Linked DNA regions of Oreochromis niloticus. The protein of the gene in region 1 interacts with the protein of each later gene in a biochemical or structural test. Links are inferred from orthologs where the notes say so. Each region holds a gene or a part of one and is shown in the gene's direction. Other genes may lie near its edges.

Evidence for each region. The genes of interacting proteins can lie anywhere in the genome.
Region 2: the proteins of parp2 (region 1) and hpf1 form a complex in vitro, tested with the Homo sapiens proteins (2 studies listed by BioGRID). The link is inferred for Oreochromis niloticus from reciprocal best matches to the Homo sapiens genes PARP2 and HPF1.

The regions. Positions count from the first base shown.
Region 1 is NC_031982.2:26,108,052-26,115,806, reverse strand, and holds the start of parp2 (poly [ADP-ribose] polymerase 2), read left to right. Parts: upstream 1-4,747; 5' UTR 4,748-5,046; coding exon 5,047-5,119; exon of another isoform or gene 5,120-5,120; intron 5,121-5,197; exon of another isoform or gene 5,198-5,250; intron 5,251-5,350; exon of another isoform or gene 5,351-5,394; intron 5,395-6,169; coding exon 6,170-6,379; intron 6,380-6,697; coding exon 6,698-6,874; intron 6,875-7,053; coding exon 7,054-7,124; intron 7,125-7,631; coding exon 7,632-7,682; intron 7,683-7,755. Other genes in the region: mettl17 (methyltransferase-like protein 17, mitochondrial), read right to left, coding at 1,155-1,247, 1,349-1,399, 1,480-1,548, 1,651-1,758, 2,025-2,095, 2,211-2,305, 2,388-2,461, 2,610-2,691 and 4 more. UniProt on the Homo sapiens protein: Poly-ADP-ribosyltransferase that mediates poly-ADP-ribosylation of proteins and plays a key role in DNA repair.
Region 2 is NC_031971.2:22,761,071-22,769,031, reverse strand, and holds the start of hpf1 (histone PARylation factor 1), read left to right. Parts: upstream 1-4,945; 5' UTR 4,946-5,047; coding exon 5,048-5,086; intron 5,087-5,934; coding exon 5,935-6,118; intron 6,119-7,057; coding exon 7,058-7,244; intron 7,245-7,458; coding exon 7,459-7,557; intron 7,558-7,961. Other genes in the region: pde5aa (cGMP-specific 3',5'-cyclic phosphodiesterase), read left to right, coding at 452-580, 1,626-1,720, 1,889-1,976, 2,150-2,250, 2,358-2,435, 2,535-2,598, 2,701-2,775, 3,441-3,524 and 1 more. UniProt on the Homo sapiens protein: Cofactor for serine ADP-ribosylation that confers serine specificity on PARP1 and PARP2 and plays a key role in DNA damage response.

The DNA.
Region 1 (7,755 bases):
CTCTGCACCGGGGCTGTGATCGACCGTGGCTGCTGGGGCCCTGTGGGTCCTCTGAGCCTGGCTGGGGGGCTTCTTTGCCTCCCTCCTGCTGTGTGCCCAGCCTGGAGGCTGCAGTCTGTGACCGGCTCCCGGTGCAGACAGCTCCCTGTGATAGTGTTTCCTCACTTGGCTAATGCATACCCAGCCCAATTTTACTCTTTAGGTGTGTGTGTGTGTGTGTGTGTGTGGGGGGGGGGGGGGGGGGGGGGGGGGGGGAATGTGTGTATCATGACCGCTTCTGTTAATGACAGTGCGGGGAATGAGTGGGAGGGTGGGGTGGGCTGCTTTTAACCATGTAAAGCACTTTGTGCTACAGTTTGTTTTGTATGAAAAGTGCTTTATAAATAAAGATTGATTGATTGATTGATTATTTGGTCTGTTGCTTGGTTTGCAGGACCAGCATTCTAAGAAGAAAAGCCTCAGAACTTCCTCTCCTCCCGTCACCCTTCCAGCTCATCCGAGGTGTTCCCAAAGCAGCTGAGGCATAATCTTGTGGGTCTGTCCCAGAGATTCTCTAAGTAGAATATGCTCAAAATGCCTCACCAAGGAGGTGTCCAGGTCATATCCTCGTCAGATCCTCAAAAAACCTCAGCTGGCTCCTTTCGAGTTGCGGATCTACTCTGAAGCCCTCAGAAAGGACTCCCAAATGACAACAGATAGCCACCCTGTGGAGGTAGTTCATTTCTACTGCTTCTATCTGTGATCTTTTTGTCACTACTCAGAGCTTGTGACCATAACTGTATACCCACCACTGCTTGCCATCTCTCTCTGAGGGCAACTCTAGACTGAGAGTCCAGCCCCTCTCCAGGAGACCTGTTGCAGAGCACCAGCTGTGCGTTGAGGTGAGTCTGACTATATTAGCCGGTACTACTCAAGCACTAATTCACCAGTGTTGTCTTAGCTGACTTAAAGGGAGGGTGGCTAAAAAGTCAAAACAGTCTGTTTTAGACAGGTGGTGAGCTGAGCCACTAGAAACATAAATAACGATAATTTAAAATTCATGCAATGCTGCTCCGGTGGAGTCCAAGAATAAAAAGAAAGAGACCTGGGAATTAACAGAATAGATCGCATTTAAAGTGAAAAGCTGTAAACAGACATAGACAGTTAAGTCTTACCCTGGGTAGAGACAGAGGTTGGTACTGCTGCTGGAAGTTGCAGGGTGTGACGAGTTCATGGGCCAATTTGGGACACACCAGTTCATGAGAACACTGAAATAAATGAATAAATAAATAAAGAGAAGTGCAATAAAACTGATACACTGATGGCTCTAAGTATGACTTTAATTAAATCTACTGGGTGTTAAACTTACTGGAGCAAACACTGATGCTGGCCTGGAGTCATAAATGGTCTTCTCTTGTTTCTGGAGTCAGAAAACCAACACTTTAGTCTGATCAATAACAACTGGTGTGAACTGCTGTCTTATCTAGTGTGTTTAAATACCTTCAATAAAGTATCTCTGGCTTCCATGAGTATCTGATGGCCCTCTTTGGTCCCATTTTCCACCAGCACCTAGAACATAAAATGCAACGAGTAATAGTTTTTTTTCTGTTTCCTTTTAAACGCCAGAGGCTCACCAATCATTTTTTAAGTTGCATCTTTATTTGATCTCACCAGATATGAGCTTGTCTTTCTCCAAAGAGTGAATGCTGCCTCCTCTCGGTCCTTCACATTCGGCAGCTCTGAGAGGGTAAAAGCTGCAGTGACTAAATCAAACTGCACCTGAAAGGAGAAAAAGGACAGTCAGGATTTCCAGTTGTTGAGATTATCTGGAACATTAATGACAGCAAATCAAAAATATTGGGATTTTCTTTATTTTTTGATTTTCTCTGTTTGTGTTCTTTTCTAGAACAATGACTAAAAAATCCATGTATAACCCAGAATTGAAGTCTAGAATATTGCATATACATTTTTAATAACACACTGAATTTTTTAAACTCTTGACAGTGAACACATTGTGACTTAAATAAAAGCTGAGGGAGTTTTACCTTAGGAGACACAGGGAGAAACTGTCTGAAATACACTTGTTTGATGCAGGGTTCAGCTCTTTCGTCATCACCTGCTCAATTCAAATAATAATAATAATAATAATAATGATACAATCCAGTCAGTTCCTATTAACATCTGTATTTCACATAAGGAAACAAAAATAAATTCTCTACATGTGTGTCTACCTTTCAGAAGTCGTTCTGCCAAAATGTTCATTGGTCCTGAGCTGTCCACACACACCATCTCCTTCAAAGAGTCACCCCAGCATGCGTGAGATGCCCTGAGTAAACGGCCAGATTATAAACTTAGTTTAGCTATTCAGACTATAGCATTTACATGTTTAACTAGTGTTGCACACTAACCAGACAACTGTTCCTAACCCAGAACCAAAATCCAGGAGAGTGTGAGGAGCAAAGGAGGGATCCCTCTTCTTTATCTAAATGATGAGGGGAAAAAAAGAAAGAACTGCAGGTATAAGTGAGTTTAACCACAAAAAACAACTTGTGCTTGGATTCATGCAACTCTTAAAAAGGAAGCTCCCTGTATCACCACGTAAGCCGATCGCCTCCACAGCACTTTGCTACCTCATTCAGAGCTCTCCTCACTGCAGCGTAACCGCCAGCAAGTCGAGCTGCCATGTAGACCACGCCGAGCTCTTCATCATACCTGAAACACAGTGAGATGCTTGTAAATCTACTGCACGTCAAACTTAAAGACCAAAACTACAACTTCAGGAGTGATCATGGTGGAGCGCATCCATTCACTGGGTTTATCTAAAGAAAGCATCTTAAGTCTGTTAAAAGTATAAAATGTTCAGCATTTGTCATAAATCGCAGTGTTAGCTTCTCCTATTATGGGTAAAAGAGGCTTTTTCTCCTTTAGGAATGAGTAAATATAACAAAGAGGCATTCAGAACAGACTGAAACATGAAAAACTGATAATGGATAACACTGTAGTTAAATGACATGTTACTTCATGGGTGCCCAGTGATATGTCGTTCTTCGGAGCTCTGAGAGAACTTTCCTCCTGATGCGGTCTTCCATTGCTTGCTCGTCAATATCTGCAGAATAAATGTATATTTATTTTTTCTAGCTGCTGCATGATATTATCTTGTTGCATGTGTATTATTACTTAAAAAAAAAAAACATTTATCACCCACCTCCTCCCTTTTGCATGGCTTTCTCCCACAGTTCTTTCTCCAGGCTCACAGCTTTCTGCCTCAGAGTTAAATCCTCGACCGCTCGTTTCCTGCTCCACAGGAAGTTTGTGAGCTTGCGAATGTGCTCAGGAAGCTGATTCACCTGAGCTCCTACAGATGCAGAGATGGATGAGAGGCAAAGGGTTTCAACCAATGAAGCTGGTCAGAAACATCTGTTATATTAACTGATTCACCAACACTAAGCTTACTGTGAATAATCGACTGTGCAGCCACGTGGAGTTCCTCAGGTAGCCGTAGAGTTTTCAAGTTGGTCACACCTGGGTGTTTTCTGTGTGGTTCACCCTTTAGGAAATCTGCCTGTGGCTGCGGGTGTGTAGCTGCACTCTTTGCCTGAAATAACAGGTTTAAATGATGCTGTTTTACTGACCTTTGAATTAAACTGAAATATGATTATATGAGGAAAATAAAAAACAGGAAATCCAATTACAGACAGATTTGAGAAAAAACAAACAAACAAAGAAACCAAACAAAATCTGTGTTTCATTTTTTCAAAAGAATCAGTGGCCACTACATTAGGCACATGTACTGTTTGAGTGCTTGTTAACGTAGGTATTTCATCAGCTAATCACATAGCAGCGACTTAATGCATTTAGGCATGCAGACATGGACAAGAAGACCTATGGAAATTCAAACCAAGCATCAAAATTTGGATGAAAAGTTACGTGATGTGGTTGTTTGTGTAACAATATACTCGTATATTGTTACTGACCATGTCCACCTACTTATGATCACAGTATTCTGAAGGCAAAAGGAGGTCCAATCCAGTGCTAGCAAGGTGTAAATAATGAAGTGGCGAGTAAGTGCGTTTTTAGTTTATTTAATGAAATGTTTGAGTCCAAGGTAACTGGGAACCAGACAGCAGCCTTACTGGGTCCAGTTATAATGTCAGAAAGACAGAGCCAAGAGATTTTTTTATGCTGAGCTGATAATAAACTCAGAAAATTCCCCTCAGTGTTGCCCTCAGTTCAAAGTATTCAGAGATGTGTTTGGGCAGTGTTTGAATGAACGTAGAAATCATGTTTTACACCAGTGAGAGCTGGCAGCCCTGACATCTGGGGGACAAGTGGAGTAGATTCACGACTAAATGGTGTATATTATGCCAAAAGGATAAAATGTAAATGTACAGACTGAAACTATTTTGTTCTCTATAGCTTATGTGTCTGACCTCTGTGATTAAAAAGCTGCATTCAGTGGCAATAACAATCCGTACTCACCCGGCACACCAGCATCCCCAAAAGTGTTCTCTGGCAGAGAACACAGGCGCTAAATCTACGCAGTACCATAACATCTGCTTCTACAAACGTTTAAATGGCTTAAAATTCAACTTTCATCCAGCCCTCCTTAAGTGTCACGTTAGAATCCCACTAATCCTTCAACAAAATAATTCCGACCACTACCTAAGGCGGAACACTTTCGACCGTAATCTCTGTTCCCACCTCAGGAGAACAACGAAGAGTGTTACTCCGCCTACTGTCCAGCATCTACGACATCAAGTTTACCTCTCGGCCACAGCATAGACAAAGTTGGGACTAAATTAAAACAGATATAAACCTAAATGTATTTTAAACATTGAACTGGGTTTAATATAAATCGTTGTCATATTAACCGCCTTCGCGCCGGAAACAACAATGGTTTCAGTTTTCACGGCGGAGTGATTCATCTTCACATGAAACAATCGTTTGCAGTACGGTTGCCGGTCAGGAAACAGTAGTACGGTGGGGAAAAGTTTCCCGCCGTGTTTTAGTGTTATCGCTGAGGTTCCCCTTTAACAGCAGCCAGATAATTATTTTTAATAACCCACCATGAGGCGAGCGAGAAGTTCGCGAAATAAATGTGAGAGTGCACCAGAAAATGGAGAAGCCCAGTCAAAAACAGGTCTGTGTGTTTTATTAGCATAATATTGTAGCTGCTGCAGGGTAACTACGCCATTGAACTGTGGACATGTTCGGACAGGAGACAGCATGAAGATCAATATTATGAAGCTTCACTCATAATTCAGACACCGGTACTGTCTGTGTGAAATAATAATAAAAAATTGTCAACTTAAAAAACAAACAAAACATTTTTTGTTGCTCGGTTTGCTTTTCAGGTAAGGGTTAGGGTTCCTAAAATAAGTTCCTAAGTGAGCGGTTAAAACGACCAAAAAAAAGGTATTTATTTGTTGTGAGCTACATTTATTGCATACCAAAAGCGAAGGGGCCTGTTCTGATGTGACCTGCTTTCTGTCTAATATATACTGCTAACATGCTGGAATGTTTATGTTAAATATGACCACTTTAATTTTAAAATAATGATGCCAATGTGTGTAGAAATGATTATGCTTTAAATTACTGTAAACATTTAGCTTTTGACATTTTCCCTCAAATTTTTGTTCCAGATGATGTCAGTGAGAGGGTTAACCCAAACATGATCATGCTACTTTTCAAACCTTCTGTTTGCCTAGAGCAGCCAATCAGAACAAACTTGGAATAAAGGGAGTTTGCACTGAAATGAAGGCGAGAAAAAACAGTTTGTTCTGATGTATTTGTTGAACTAAGGGGAGAATTCGAGTGTAATGAGCTCCCTTTAAAAGTAAGGCTGATTTTTTTGCAGCCACTCTTTATATTGCTTCTGTTAAAATTAACCTAAAATGTTTGACAGCTATCTGCACCTTCCAGGGAAAAAAAAGAAGCATGTATTGGTTTTATTTTTCTCTTTACTATTTTGCAGTTTATCCAGACTTCAGAAAGCTTCATTTTTTAAACAACAGCAGCATTAATGCTTTTTTATTTTAATATGATTGGTATTTGTCAGGGGACTAAAAATTAAGGAAGTTTAAAACAGGTATTACACACACAGAGTTTTAATAACTTAAAGACTTGTTTCTAATCTCTAAAAGGCCAGTGTGTAAGAGTTAGATTTTCTTCTGTGTGTGTTTCTGATCAGTGTGGCAGTGGATGGGAGATAAAAGACAGTGGGAACCATACTCTCCATCAGCCTGTGCCGTCTTGGACTCGGCCGTCTCTTCGGGAAAAACATCTGTCACTCTCTCTCTGGGCTCGGGGACAGCCTATGAAGTTGATCTGAAGAAGATGGTTCAGATCAATCCTGTCACAAAGTACAAACGGAAAATTCGCTGTCAGACTGTAAAAACAGGTGTGCGAATTATGTATTACACCACATATGTCTGCTGTTGTCTCCTACAGCATCACTTTGTTTTAGTTTTTTTGTTGTGAATTTTCTGTCATCCTCCCTGCTCCCTGTGTTCTGTTTTCATAATTCCTCATTTTTAAATTGTGTTGCTTGATATTTTCTTAACTGCAGTTCTGTTCATTTTTCATTTTTTTTGTAGAAATTGTATCTAAAACATAATTTCATGAAATTTATATAGTTTATTTCAGTTTAAATTTAATTGAAAAATCTGAATTCCTGGAGGTACTCACAGTCTTTCCTCTTTTCTCCTGTTTTATTAAGAAAGTCAGAATGAAGCTGGTGACGTTGCTGCTCATAATGAGAAACCAGCTCAAGTTAAAGAGGAAGAGGAGGACACAGAAGAGCAGCCTGCAGCTAAGAAGAGGAGAGGACAAAGCAAGAGCCAGACAAAAACTGAAGAAATGCCCAAAAAAGCCAAAGAAGAAGTAAAAAGTGAAGGTAACATGGATCTAATTTCTATATATACTTACAAAATTTTGGAGCCATGACAATATTGGTCATTATCAAAGCACAGTAACTTTTAAAGCTTTTAAGGATCAGGTGAGCATGGAATTGCATCTGAACTGTAGATGTTTCTTCCCCTCACTACTCTTTCGTGTCTGATCTGCTCTGAACAGAAGTTGTGAAGACAGTGGTCATGAAGGGAAAAGCACCAGTAGACTCTGAATGTAAAGCCAAACTAGGAAAGGTACAGTGTCTGCATCCACACGATATATAAATCTCACGATTCATGTCAGTCATGCTCGTGGTTTGACACCTGGCTGCTAGAAGGCAAAGCTTTCCCCCAGTTACACTTCCTCTTGTGACAAACTATTCTGTGTCTGGTTAAACACAAATAAATCTTTCAGCGAAGCTAAAATTTTCTAAATGGTTGTTTTCAACTGAATAACTTATATATGATTGCATTTTTCCACATACTAAACAGATAACCAATAAATCTGAGAAGTATTGTTGCAATTACAAGATAATTAAATTCATCTCACCTAATTATCAGTAGATTTACATATGACTGTTACATGAAAATATAAGAAGTAGTAATTGGTTCTGTTTCAATTATTTTTTAACATCATCTCAAATCTGTTCTTTTTAAACACAAAAAAGTAAATATTTTATACAAAAATATTTATATTTCCTGAATGCAGAGATGTTGGGATTATTTTGATTTGTATAGCTCATTTTTATATTTCTGTTTCAGGCTCATGTTTATAATGAAGGAAATGATGTTTACGACGTGATGCTAAACCAGGTAACACAATTAAGAGGAAATAAATTATGCTCAGTTCCATCTTTATAGTTTTTTTTAGGGTTGTGTGCCTTAG
Region 2 (7,961 bases), on another chromosome or scaffold:
TTGGGGTGAAGAGATTTTGGTAAGAAGAAAGTCTTCTCTGTCAAAATCTGCAAACTGCATCTGCAAATTATCTGTGAATTTCTTGGTAAAATCCTGTTGTGTAGCTACTGATGTTAAGGATTGTGAAACCCTGGGGTTCTGTGGTGGTTCAAGCTTGTTTCACTGGCATCGGTCTTTTTTTCATTTCATTAACTCCACCTTATCTAAGGCACCAAAACAGGAATCACGTTGGTGGAAAAAGGACCTGTGAGAGAGGAGAATATGAGGTCATAATGGATATTTTAGTGTTATCTTATTAGCTCTTACATTTGACAATATGTAGTTTAGTATGTTTCTTTGAGTTACAGGAATTTCACTACTGACAAACTAGAAAAGCATAATAGAATCAGATAATACCTTAAATATTCTCAATTTCTATTATTTATCAACTTTACGTATCTCATCCTTCCAGAGTCTTTGCCAGTGGGTTTTGACTGTGAAACGTGGCTACAGGAACAACGTGCCCTACCACAACTGGCACCATGCAGTGAGCACTGCTCAAAGCATGTTTGCAATGCTCATGGCAACAGACCAACTCCAGGTTAGTGTTAGTTTGTGGTAAAAGCAGAGTGGGTTTGTAGTTGCTATTATTATAACATTTCATGCATTTTGTTGACAATCCATTCTATATGTCCATGTGACAGTCACACTGTGACATTTGCATAACGCCTCCGGAGTTTCCTCTGTACTGTAGCTCAAAAGTTTTGGGAGGAGTCAGTTGAGGATTGCCAGGGTTGTTCTTCCGTACTGAGCGCTCTTAACTGTTTGGAAGAGGATTAATTTTAGATCTTGCCAAAACCTCTTAACTGCTGTCTGTAACAATCAGACACATACCTACACCTCAACTCAAGTGACTTCTGCCATTCACTCACCAGTGTTTTAAGCTTTTTGGAGATCCAGGATGCTTTTTGGAGATCCACCCTGGGGGTCTCTGTACCAGGACCAGGCTGTATCTGTTATGCATATTTGTATCTGTTATAGTTTGGAGCTTAATTATGTGGGATATTCAATGAAGACACTGACTGGTATTAGTAACACTAAAATGGAAGTATCATTTGTCGTACTTCATTTCTTTTACATCAAACATTGAATAGTAGAATTACAGTTACACATTTTTTATTCAGTATTTGTTCAGATAGAAAATGACACTACCATCTAACATTTTACCGTCTTATCACTTTATTCTTTTAGATTAGAGATTATTTAAATACAAGTAAAGTACAAAAAAAAAATTAAAAATGATTTAGAGATTTTGCATCATCACCTATCCATAAATTCCTGCTTCCTGTTTTTTACCCTTACATATACTCATGTGTAGGGATCCATAGACTTCAGCTCCAATTGGGATTGGTCCTTTATCATCCTATCTGTTAGAAACTTTTATTATCGACTTTTGACAGCACATGATCCACCTATTGATACAAACTTTCTTTTATTTTGTGTAGCACATGAAATGTGCAATATATACATGTGCATATGATTATTTTCTCAATTATTATTTTTTTCCTATAAAGCATTCAATTATAAAATGCAGAAAAATAATTTTCTTCATTATTGCAACCTGTTTCTTTCTGTTCATATTTCAGACCATTTTTTCTCGCCTGGAGATCTTAGCATTGATGATAGCCACTCTGAATCATGATGTCGATCACAGAGGAGTTAATAATTCCTTCATAGAAAGGTAAACGTTAGTTCTTAATCTCTCACATTTACTCCATTACTTATTTTTACTCTAAATTATCTAGACCATAATTATGTGTATTTATTTTGATTTGTACTATCTGTAAGACTTATTAGTCTCTGCCTACATATATTCAAGTCCTTATTCTTTCTTTCTTTTTTCTCTCAGGACTCATCAGCCTTTAGCTCAGTTGTATGGACACTCCTCTCTTGAGAACCACCACTACAACCTGTGTGTCTTCATCCTAAACAACACTGTAAGATGCAAGAAATCTTTTCTTTTCAACTTATAAGTTATATTTGCATGCACACATATCTATTATTTTGCAATGATTCCACTTGTGAAATAATTAGATTATTTTGATCTCTGTGTGTGAACTTGTAGTCTTCAGTTTACTTTACTTTCTTTCTGTCTCTCATCATCTTCCAGGGGAGTCAAATTCTTAGCGGTCTGTCTGCTGAAGAGCACAAAGCTCTATTACACATAATCAAAAGGGCAATCCTTGCCACAGACCTGACCGTCTACATGGAGTACGTCTGAAACATTAAAAATGTCAAAGAAGATGTAGGTTACACATTTAGCCAGTCTTATTTTAACCCATGTTTCTTCTGGCTGTTTTTATTTTATTTTTTTTCAGAAGAAGAAAGGAGTTCTTTTCTCTCGCTAACAAAAGCGGAGTGAGCTGGAAAAGTGAGAAACAAAGAGACTTGCTCAGGTGAGAATCACATAAATTAGAATCAGAGGCATATTATATTGTTGTGCTCGGTAAACCAAGAGAATGTGCTGTGTTGTAAGCTATTACTTTACCCCACAGGTCAATGCTGATGACAGCCAGTGACCTCTCTGCTATCACAAAGCCTTGGCCTGAACAAAAAAGAGTAGGTCTCACAAAGTAGCTCTGAATGAAAAATAAAACACTTCATGCTTCATCTCTCAATCCTTTTTCACTGCAACCTTAACCTCACTCTTCCTCCTAACAGATTGCCAGACTGGTTGCCATGGAGTTCTTTGCACAGGGGGACAAAGAGAGGGAAGAGTTCAAAATCAAACCCATTGTAAGTGGAGCTTGCAGGATTTGTAGTGTACCAAGGATTCTGAAAATGTTGAGTGGAAATAAAAAAGTGTGCACACATAAAAAGGAATTTAAATCAATATTTTTTCATGATTGGATTCTAACAAGAATCCAATCATTTGTGAATATCTTGTTTTAGTCTTATGATACATTTTTTTAAGTTTAAAAGCCCTTCAGGCATCCTGTTGTCCTATTTCTTGTTGCGCTAGAATTGCATCTACCCTGTCGTATAACAGTATCACGGTGCCAAAGACTGTTCTTTGAAAAAATACATAACCACAAACACTGGTATGTCTTGGAATATCTTCATATTTTTGTCATTGTGGTTTAAAAGATTTTCTTATTTTATTTACACAGATTCAAAAATGGGTTTTCATAAAATGTTACTGTTACTCTGTCTACACTATAACAAAAATAACAATATCTTTGAATACATAAAGCTTTATAAAGCCTGTTGTGTATTTCTGATGCATTTTTCCCCATTCAGAGTTAAGTAAATTTAATGTAGCTTGCAGTGTTTTGGGTTGAATTAATCTACATATATAAATGTTCATATTCAAGTACTGCATACTTTTGCAATTCTATCTGATCTTCTGTAAGTGCTTTAAGTGCTATTCTAACAGCCACTTTATGCTTACTTTTCACAAGGACATAATGAACAGAGAAAACAGCACTCGACTGCCGTATATGCAAGTTGAATACATTGATGAGGTCTGCTATCCACTCTACAAGGTGTGTTATTACTACTGGTATTGTGTAAGCAATGTGTAGATAACTGTATATTCTACTTGCATGCATGTATCCTTATATATTTCATCACAGAATTCACCTTGTTGCCATCTTGTTCCCTTAAGATCAGTTGTAATTTCCACTATTCTATCAACAATCCCGTCTCTGTCTTTGCCGTCCTCAGACTGTATCGAGGCTGTTTGACTCCTGCTCTCCTTTGCTAAATGGGTGTAAGAAGAACAGAGAAAACTGGCTGCAACTTGCTGATGAACAAGAAAAAGAAAACAATGAAAACATTAGTACAGACTCATCACTGCATGAAGACTTTAAGAGAGAGACACAGACAGACCAATGAACAGCGGACTGGAGAGAAGATGAAGACACGTGGCTTCAGAGGCTAAAAGGAGGCTTGCCCGTATGCTTCTTGTTCATTCTTCTAACTGAAGACTGACCTATTGCTCACACATCAGAACTTTGATGAGCAAACTCGTTAATATGTTATGCAGTGGCCCTCACGGTTATGATTATTCCTGCACTTGTACTGCAAATAACTTATTGTGCCACATATATAATAGTAAATTAAATGCATTTACTGTATGTAAAAAGGTACTAAATAGCTTCTCAAAGTACTTTACACTAAAAGCTACATTCACATTTATATTCTCTCTGTATGGAGTGTTTAGTTAGGGGATGAACTGCTCTGCCTTTGCATTGATCCTACATTAATCTGTTTATTTAGCAGTGAAGCTGTGAAAGTCTGAGAAATTACTTTGATTATTTGCACACCATATCTGTATTTGTATTTTTATCTGTGCTACACTCAGTTTGAGAAGACCTGTATTGCTGTACTGCTTCCTTTCCACATACCATCAAATTAGTACAGTGATCTATAGCACAATCAATTTTGTGAACTTGTATTCAACTATTTATTTTATTAGATTACTGACATCTACATATTTTTTTTGATCTGATTTGACTTTGTTTCCATAATGGCTCTTTGGAGCACTTTGACCCTGTGCTAATTCTATTAATTGTTCCCCTTTATTGGCTCTGACTTACAAGGTCTTGAAATTTAGCAGAACTGATAACAACTAATGTTATTTCCACCATCTGAAACTGAGCAATAAAGATATTGTTCACCACACATATACAGCATGCGTTTTAAATAATTATCCAGCCTAAAATGTTCAAAGTATTGTTACAAACCTTTTATATGATTTGCATAACCTTGGTAATAGTAAGTAGTTATTTAGCTGAACTGTAGAGGCAAAAGGGGCAGATGCGTGTATAGTAAGCCAATTTATTATTATTATTATTATTATTGTTATTATTATTATTATTATCATCATCGTTATTATTATTATTAGCGTTGTTGTTGTTGTTGTTACCTGGATTATTTAGGGGAAGGGACGTTTGCATTCCAGGCCTGTGGGTGGCACTGGTGCTCTTAAACAGGGCGCTGTTGCTGCCGACGGCTCGACGCTGACTGGCAGAAGAAGACTTCAACGGAGAAAAAGAGGAATAAAATGACAGGGCGCGCAAAAAGAAAACCCAAAGCCGTTCAGGTAAATACGCTTTGTTTTGACCTGCTGTGTTTGGTGCAGGAATATGCGTTTAAAACAGCAGCCTTACCAAACGAGACGCCGTGCTCTGTGTGCAGCAGAGCAGCTGCCGTTAAAGTCGGTGTGAAGAAGTGTTTAGCAGCCTGACCGAGCAGCAGTGGATAACACGACAACATGGCAGCAGCTCTGCAGGCTGGTCCCACAAAGCAGCTTGTTCAGCGATGCTAACAGCACATACATGAATGGGGTCTTTGGCTTTGATTAAATGGAAAGCACTACCATAACTGGACCTTTATGCTAGCTAGGAAATATCCGTACGTCGTTCCCATTCACTGTTTGTGTAGTGTGGCGTCAGCAAGCGCACTGTGGGTGTCATCATTGATTGATTCATTGATTGGTGCCTTTATCCAATAAACACCAATAAATGGCCCCATAAAATCGTTTTGCCAAGGTTGCGAGCAACTATTGGAAAAGATTACGATCCCTACTCTTACTGTACACGCCTCTGCAGGATACAGAGTCCAAGGCAGTGGGCACAGCTGTACGTATTGTACACTAGTTGCTGATGCGAGGTAGATGCATTAATTCTCACGCAGTAAATATTGACCTACTTCTGTGGAGAGCATGATGCTCAGTGATTATTATAGAAGTGTTTTGATTAACCTTTATGGATATTTGGGGGGGGGCGCTTCTTTTTATAATAATATAGTGGTTGGTTCAATGTATCCACAATATGTTTTACTGTCAACCTGCTGTATCAAAATGACATATTTGGAGCTTGATATAATACATAAATAGGCAACTTACTATGCAGTATTGCTGAGGAGTTCCCCTGCTTTTCATGTCTTTAGGGAAAAGGCACAAATAATGGAGAGGTGAAGAAAGCCCGAAGTGAAGAATCCAATGATGTGCCGCCATCGGGAGTGAAATCGGAGCAACGTGATGAGCTGATGCAGTTGTACAGTTTTCAAATGCCAGAAGATCTGTACCACTTCTGGGAATTCTGCAGCGATCTTTGCACTGACAACCCCCGTGGTATGATCTCAGTACTAGACTTCATAGGGTGGAGCCGCTGAATTTAATGCTGCTTAGTATTTCAGTCTAATAGAACATTAAAGACGAGATCATTCAAAGCAAAAACAATTCCACGTGACAGTCGGTGGTTAAGGGCTTCAAAATGAACAGATCTCCTATTAAATATAGTTAAACATGAAATTCAGAAACTGTTTTTTAGCTATTAGATGCTCAACCGTTGTAATGAACTTAGGGGCTGTAATACAGGTGTGAAAAAGATGGCACAGTAGAAGACAGAAACATCACATCTGTAAATGACACCAAAGTACTGTACGGTGCTTTAAAGGCCAGTGTAACAGCTAGCTAAAAGATTTAGTTCACAAACACAAAATTAGCAGCATTTGGTTAACACTTGGGTATTAACTGTAAACCCACATTTGGTGTGGGGCTCAAAACCTGACTTCATGCAAGTTTAATTTGTAATGAGTCTATATCTTCCAGTTCTGTTTCTATTTCTGTAGATGTTCTTGAAGGTGCTGCGGTGAGTGGTGGTGTACACACTGCAGTAGAGTACAGCAGCTGACAGTCAATGATCATTTCATCTATAAAATGTCAAATATACTGAACACCTGAACAATTTTGTCTTTGATTTTTTTTATGTTATTTTTAAATCCAGCCCTAAAACAGTGGATGATTTGTTTCCACTGAGTGTTATTTTGTTCTCAGATTTAAGTTTATTTCATTCATCAAGATTTTTATTTTTATTGTTTTTGGGGGTTTTTTGAGCAGTGCAGATGATTCATTTTATCATTAAGTGAAAAATCTCCATCTCAGATACTTATGTGGTGTGTAAGATATGTAAATATGATATGTAAATAAAATATTTTATCAATAATTTGCACTTAAGTAATGCTTCTGTGTCAGCTCGTTTCTGTATCAAGATATTGTCACTCTCTATAGGTGCTCTGAAAGACTCGCTGGGATTGCAACTGGTTGGACCATTTGATATTTTGGCAGGAGCTCACAAAAACTCCAAGAATTCCCAGCCGAAGTTCCACCTTCACTGGCGATATTTTTATGACCCACCAGAGTTTCAGACCATACTCACAGGGAGTGAGGACAGCCAGCATCACATTGGTTACTACAGGTATAGAACACAACAACTGAAGTGTGTGACTATTGGCTTTTATTAGAATCTTGTAGCTTCCACCAGAGGCTGCTTCCAACATTTGCTCTACCAAGAAGACAGAGGGCGTTGTGTGAAATAATATGAAAATAGTGATAACAATATGTACATGAGCATAAGTGGTTCTGATTTTCTTGTTGTTGTTTTGTTTTACTGAATTTCATTGTTCCGCCAGAGATACTCCAGACTCCCTCCCTTCGTTCGTTGGGGAAAATGAAGCCAAGAAGGGCTGTACTATAACACAGATGGGGGACAACGTGTTTGCTGCAGTCTAGTGAGTGTTAACCACCACAAACTCCCCATATATCACTTTATATAATCCAATTTCCAGCTTAAACAAATTCTTGGCACAAAAACAGAAAAGTTCTTGTGCATTAGTGACCACTGATAGTGCTAAATTTTATTTCCCACATCACATTTCACAATAAACTGTTTTGTTTTTGTTTTTTAAATGTAGTTTTTAGGTATGTACTGTTTAACAGGTTCTAAAAGTGATCTAAAGGGGGAAAAATGCTGGAAAAGCAACAAGGTCACAGCCTCCAAAGCATGAGAAATGAAAACTGTTTTTTATGTTCAGGAAAATCAGGAAGAGCTTAGTATCAGCTATATTGGAAGGTAGATCTGGGCGATATGGATTTTAAAAAAAATTACAAATTTTTTTTCTTTCTGTACTGAACA